2 linked regions of the Nothobranchius furzeri genome follow. The protein of the gene in region 1 interacts with the protein of each later gene in a pairwise test. Links are inferred from orthologs where the notes say so. Each region holds a gene or a part of one and is shown on either strand. Other genes may lie near its edges.

What was found. The genes of interacting proteins can lie anywhere in the genome.
Region 2: the proteins of prpf40a (region 1) and hnrnpul1 interact in a two-hybrid assay, tested with the Homo sapiens proteins (2 studies listed by BioGRID and IntAct). The link is inferred for Nothobranchius furzeri from reciprocal best matches to the Homo sapiens genes PRPF40A and HNRNPUL1.

Annotation. Positions count from the first base shown.
Region 1 is NC_091754.1:18,325,705-18,329,088, reverse strand, and holds the end of prpf40a (pre-mRNA-processing factor 40 homolog A), read left to right. Parts: intron 1-1,419; coding exon 1,420-1,557; intron 1,558-1,645; coding exon 1,646-1,741; intron 1,742-1,823; coding exon 1,824-1,910; intron 1,911-1,983; coding exon 1,984-2,074; intron 2,075-2,146; coding exon 2,147-2,208; intron 2,209-2,285; coding exon 2,286-2,441; intron 2,442-2,532; coding exon 2,533-2,622; 3' UTR 2,623-2,867; downstream 2,868-3,384.
Region 2 is NC_091753.1:58,652,005-58,655,659, forward strand, and holds part of hnrnpul1 (heterogeneous nuclear ribonucleoprotein U-like protein 1), read left to right. Parts: coding exon 1-56; intron 57-704; coding exon 705-844; intron 845-916; coding exon 917-1,016; intron 1,017-2,538; coding exon 2,539-2,651; intron 2,652-2,985; coding exon 2,986-3,252; intron 3,253-3,655.

The DNA.
Region 1 (3,384 bases):
GTGTTTTTATGCACTTTTTCTGCTCTGAAAGCTAATAGGTGAGATATTGCATTTTCATTTAAGGTAATTACTTATTTTTTTGTTTAGTTGTTGGCCTGTGGGAAAAAGTTTGGACCACTTTTAAAACGGGAACTGGAAAGATGAATAGAATAGAAATAGACCAGAAAATCCCTTTATTGTCCCTCAGTGGGGAAAGTTTGGTGTCAAATTAGCAATAAAATTACATCAGCAAAAAAGGAGAATTAAATATAAACAAGAAAACGTAAAAAAGAAATACAAACCAATTCAAAAGATTAATAATAAAAACTGGAGGCATAATAAGTAATGAATACCACTGACACGTTTTGTTGAAAATTGACTTGCTCGTGTGCAGTTTGGTTACTCCACATTCAGTGTTACTGCAAAAATAAGTTAGTTTCCAAATGAAAAGGTTCAACAGCATCTGTAGATAAAAGAAAATGTGCACATTTGTATGTCTAAATATTAAAGAGCAAGTAACGCATCGTAAACTAACTTGTTTTTGCTGATAACCTGTAGAGATGAGTGTCTAATGGTGCTGTACACACGTGTAATCATTAGTGTGGCAGTTTAGCGCAACTTACTCTAAATGTAATATTTCAGCCCAAAACCATAATTATATCTCCATCTTCAGGTTAAAAACTGCTCCACATTTATGTAGAACCAGCTGTAGCTGAAAAACGTCACGTTATCCGCAAATAACTACGTGGCTGCACCGCTCTGGTCTCCAGGTGAGGCAGCCGCACCTCCACCCGACTCGGCCACTCACCTGCCGGTTTGACACATTAGCGCTGGCAGCCGCTCGCCTACTGGAAAAAAATGCCCTCCTCCCCCTTTTCATCTAATGATCACGATTGCCCCGTAACAGGAAACCCTTCAGGATGCTGCAGAATCTGTGTTTGCTTTCCTCCTGAGCGGTAAGTCTTGTGTGAGTGTGTGCTTGTGTGCACACGCACGCGCTCGTTAACAACTCCATTTTAGATAGAGAAACTCCAACAGTGCACACGGGGGCGTTGAGGGGGGTGCGGTCTACCGCTGCCTCAGTGCCGCTCTCTCGGTCCACCAGGAGACGCCTCTTTCAGAAGCGTTTTCCTAACAGGAAGTGTGGATGAAATGCGTCTCCACCCATGCCTTGACCCTCACTTAAGTTTGGCCCGCAACTTCGTCCCAGTTTTTTTTTTTTTCTTTTCATTTCGGCCCAGTTTGAGTTTGAGTTCGACACCTCTGCTCCAGAGGCTGAGATGACGTCAGATTGAGCCCACATGAGATCACCGTTTAGCTCCGCCCTCTTAAGCAGCCAGTGGATCACATGGGGAAGAGGAAATTCAGTTCTTTGGTTTTGTGCAGTTTTGCCTCTAGAACGATTTTGTATTTTTAAGATCTTTTTCTTTTTGTGAACAGCTTCTGGAGAAGGCTGAAGCCAGAGAGAGGGAGCGAGAGAAAGAGGAAGCCCGCAAGATGAAAAGAAAAGAAGCTGCTTTCAAGACCATGCTGAAGCAGGCCACGCCGCCTCTGGAGCCGGATGCATCGTGGGAGGAAGTACGTGGTTTCAGTTAGATCACTCTCCATCACATTCACTCGTGATTGGGCCTCGTGTTTAGTGACGAGCGGCATCTGACCCTTTCAGGTCAGAGAAAGATTCCTGAAAGAGTCCGCCTTTGAGGATGTGACGCTGGAGTCGGAGAGGAAGAGGATTTTCAAAGATTTCATGCATGTTCTGGAGGTAAGGTCACCACGATGACATTTGGAACTGATTTATCAGGCCTGATAACGGTGACGATCAGCGGTTTGGTCTGCTTTTTCAGCACGAGTGTCAGCATCACCACTCCAAGACAAAGAAGCATTCAAAGAAGTCCAAGAAGCACCACAGGAAACGATCCCGCTCTCGATCGGTGTGGACCTCACCGGCTACTTTTGTTTTCCTCCTCTTTGGACCTGCTAATCTTTAACCTTCTTATTCATTAGGCTTCAGAGTCTGAGGATGAGGATTACCACAAGAAGAAGAAGAGGTCACAGTCAAAGTCTCCTTCAGAGCGCTCATCGAGTGGAGAATCTGGTGAGTGTTTCTGTTAGCGAATCGCTTTACGGAAGCGTTTGAATTCACCGACACGTTTCTGTCTGAAACTAGAGCGAAGCTATAAAAAATCCAAGAAGCACAAGAAGAAGGGCAAGAAGAGGCGCCACAAGTCTGTAAGTACACAAGCCTTTTGTGGATGTGGTGTTAAAAATTACCCAGCATGCAATTAGCTGATAACCGCAACCAACAGGCATCGCCGGAGTCTGACAGCGAGAAGAAAGGAAGAGACCGTGACGGGAAGCGTGAACGAGATTCAGAGAAGGATAAAGAGAACGACAAGTCTCGGTCTAAATCTCGCACCGAGTCCAAACAGAAGTCTCCTAAAAGAAAAGCAGCCAAAGAGGAGGTGAATTCCCATCATTTAATACGATTTCCAAAAGATTTTGGTAGTTAAAGTCCCACAAACCCGAGAGACTGATTTAGGTTTTCCTGCTCAGGGCGGCTGGGATACATCAGGCAGTGAGCTGAGTGAAGGAGAGCTGGAGAAAAGGAGAAGAACTTTACTGGAACAGCTGGATGCACCTTGATGCTTCTCTTTTTGCTACTTGTACATTTCAACTAAAGCATTCCCTGCATCTGACCGCGCTGTTCACTGAAGACGTCTCTCACTGGTTTTAAGGGGAATGTGCTCATGTACTGATCTTACGCGCTCGGTTCGTCTCATTTGATATCCGGAAGCTCCTCATTTTAAGTATTTCCTATAGTCGGATGTAGTTGTACGTTTCCCATTGCTGATTTTTTTTTTTTTAATTAAAGGCATATCTTAAAGTCACGCTCAGCGTCTTCACCAAATTGTCGTCAAGTAAAGTTATTGAAAGTGGCAGTGTGTAGTTTCCTGGCACTAGGGGGCGGTACATTCATTTCAGGGTAGTTTTCCACCATATCGCCATAGTTTAAAAAAAACCATCAAGGTAAATTTGGTTACCTGTGGAGCAGAAAGCATGCGACCTGTGTCTCTCCTCAGACTTTGATGATCCTTCAGTTAATTCCGTTAAGGGAACGCGATGCTGGGGCTAGTTTTCTGGATCTGCTCGGAGTCCTGCCTGCTGATGTCATACTACGGCAAAACCATTTAGACAAAATATATTGCATGTCTTTTTAGATTCTGTTCTTTAACAAAGGTTTCATTAAGAGTTTAGCAGTTTTGTTTTTAAATCAGTGTTTTTTACTGCTGGAATGTTTTCGAACATGGCAACGTAACTTGCGTAAGTCGTAATTCCAGCCTACGTCTGGTGTGATGTCATCGAGAAGAGCAGGACCCCAAGCCGACCAGTTTAAAATATGGCGTC
Region 2 (3,655 bases), on another chromosome or scaffold:
TCCTGCTGAAGATGAGGAGGAGAACATTGACGACACTCTAGTGACAATTGATCCATGTAAGTTCAAACTTTTACTTTTTCATCTTTAAAAACCCACATTTGGTGTAAAAATTCAAGTGACGGCTCTCGTTTCTTCTGCTGGAGGCGTTCTAACGGGTCAGAGTTAGCTGGATTTGAGGCTAACGCTAATCACGTCCTCCGTTTCCACTGAGAGGTCTGAAATCTTGTTTTCCAAATCAGCTGTGGTCTGGAGATTGGTCTGCCATGAACTTAGTGCTTGGTGTTGGTTCTGGCTGCAGCAGCCTCAGTTCTCAGTAACACAGAGGCTCCAGACACAGCTGCTGGGTTAGACTCAACACTCAGATCTGATACGGTCACATTCACATATCAACCAAGTCTGAAACGTTACCAAAAACAGGACATGATCCCAGTTCACCTTTTTAATAAATAAAGTGACTTAGTGGAACAGCTTCTGTTGCTGTTGAGCAGCAGCAAACTAAACCCTGTTTGCTTTGTTAGGGGTAGGGTGACTGTTTGTTGTCATTGTTTTTTTAAACATTTTTACTATATTATGGAGTGAAAAATAACTTATTAGTTTCCAAAGGAGGCGCTGAAAACACGAGACCTTATTTTCTGGTTCAAAAAGATCAAATAAATCTAAATAATGATTTAAAGCACACCTGAACTTTCTCTTTCCCCTCCTAGACAACTGTGATTTGCACTTCAAAGTGTCCCGAGACCGGTACAGTGGCTATCCGCTGACCATTGAGGGCTTTGCTTACCTGTGGGCTGGAGCCAGAGCGACTCATGGCGTCACCCAGGGTCGCGTGTGCTACGAGATGAAGGTGATTTACACTCGGTTGATGCGTATGTGGACACAGAATGAAGGACTTACCACTCCGTTTCTCTTCCTGCAGATAAACGAGGAAATTCCCGTGAAGCACCTGCCGAGCACCGAGCCGGATCCTCACGTGGTTCGAATCGGATGGTCCCTCAACCACAGCAGCACTCAGCTCGGTAAGAAGAGCGCGGGTTTCTGCACGGTCTTTAAAAGCGTTTCATTATTTTTTAAATGTTTTTCAGATTTGCATAATCATGAGTAGGGTTGTCACGGTGTGAAAACGTAACCTCAGGGTTATTGTGACCAAAATTACCACGGTTTTCGGTATTATCGCTGTATTTTTTTTAAACGTGCTACATTTTCACACAACTAAATAAACCCTGTATGTCAGGAAATATTGTCCTCAGTTTGTGTCTAAATTTAGCCTAAAATGTGTTATTTTGTAATTATGTTGTTTATTTGTTTACATATTTCCCCTTTAGTCTTTAAAATACCAATATTTGCTCATAACTTCTTATTTTATGTCTGTTTGATGTCATCATTTTAAAAATATTAGATCAGATGATACTCAGTACTCAAGTAGCCTTCTAATCAGATACTTTTTTACCCTTACTTGAGTAATAAACCCTATATCAGGAAAATATCGTCCTCGGTTTGTGTCCTTCCAGTGAGCTTTGCAGATGTGGGAAAATGTCATCAGGCAGTAATCATTGTTAAATTCATAATTATTCTCGGAGAGAGACCAACTCTTATCTGCCCCTGGGAGCCCCGTAATGCATAGCGTCATTTCAACATGGCGGTGTCCGCGACACGGTTTATATGCAGGTAGTGGCGCTGCGGCTGCTTTATATAGCGACTCGTTGCATTCTCCCTCAACCCAAATCCTCGGATCACGCATTTTAGCTAAAGCGCTAACGTTAGCTTGCCTTGCGTTGACTGTAGAGTTGTGGGTGATGGTCACGCAGATGTGTCATGAGATTTGAAGCGTTGCTGCCTTTCACAGACACTTTTTCTACACGTGCTGCAAACAGGATAGCCGTCTTCTATCAGCTGTCCCTCGGCATTCTTCAAATATCCGAAAGATGCCCGTACTTCCCACTTTGTCTTCTTTGAGGGATAATAAATGTCCTGAGCGCTGCCGTCTCCTCCTTTGGCCATTATTTCAGCTTTAGCTTCAAGAAAGTTTTGGTTGTAAACAACAAAGTGCGCATGTGCCACCGGCAACTTCAGCAGATGATACGGTGGCTGGTAAGGGTCACCGCGCCTACACCGCAGCCACGGTAATCCACCGAGATAATATAGTTTTAAAAAACAAGACGGTTATTATTATTGTCAACTTTTTACCGGGGTTTACCACTACACCGGTTACCGTGACAACCCTAATCATGAGTAAATGAAAAGAAGTGTCGGTAGATTCTTTTCTCCGTTTCCTAAATGATCGAAACCAGAATTTCTCAACAGTTTTGCTTTTATGGAACATCGTGACAAGGAAACATTTAATTTAGATTAAAATAACGTGTTTGATGCATAAACCTCATAATTAAACCTGTTTTCTTAAAAAAGAATAAAAAACTTCACACATACATAATTTTGTTTATTATGTTTATGTTATAATGTATTTTAAAGCAGAAGAATTTCCCATTTGTTTTTTTTTAGAAATGATTTATTTAACAAACGTCTGTTTTTCCTGTTTTCTAGGTGAAGAACCTTTTTCCTTTGGATACGGAGGAACGGGGAAGAAATCCGTTGACTGCAAGTTTGCCGACTTTGGTGAGAAGTTTGGTGAAAGCGACGTCATCGGCTGTTACGTTGTGAGTAAACTGAGAATACCTGTAATTACTGCATCAATACCAAAGTAAATTGCTCCTTAACATTCAGAAGATTTATTTTACTGACGTGTTTGGAGCTCTAATAATGTTTTTGTTGCTGATATTTTATCTGCAAAAAATGTATAAAAGATTCCGTTTTTCCTTTATTGCATTTGCATTTTCTCTAATATAAGGTTACCGCTGGTCTGAATCCAGTAGATATTAATTCAGTTAGTTTCCATAAGTGTGGCTCCTTATTTCCTGTGTCCTGTACCGAACATTTGTTTTAACCGGAAGTGACGGTCGTGGTGCTTCTTTTAAAACTCATTTCCTGCAGGACTTCGAAAACGGTGACGAGGTGGAGATGGGATACACCAAGAATGGCGTCCAACTGGGCGTGGCGTTCCGTACGACAAAGGAGGCTCTGGCTGGGCGAGCCCTGTTCCCTCATGTGCTCGTGAAAAATTGTGCTGTTGAGTTCAACTTTGGGCAGAAAGGGGAGCCCTACTTCCCCCCACAGGAAGGATACACCTTCATCCACAATCTGGACCTGAAGGACAAGATCCGAGGCACAAAGGGACCTGCCAGCAAATCCGAGTGTGAGGTAGGAGATCAGTGTTCTGTTACAGCTAGAGTCCGACGCACACGACAAGTTGTATCAAAGAACGGGTCATGTAGGCTCCGTGGTGCCGGTTGGGAACAGATGTCTGCCGCTTTTAAAGTTGTCTCGCGCTTTCCCACCTGCAGAAACCAGGTCGAGACTCGTTCCAGGTGTGTGTGTGTGTGTGTGTGTGTGGCTCTGAAATTTAGTTGAGTAAATTTTTGTTAACTGCACTGAAAACCTCCTGTGACACCAGAGCTGGGCAAAGATTATCGAACTGTTTTGAACTGAAACAATCCCAGGGTGTCCGCGGGGTTTTAAAAAGTATTAAAAAGTGATAAATAAAAATAGTCAAATTTAAGGCCATTAAAAGTGTTAAATTTGGTCTCAGAGGTATTATTTTTTC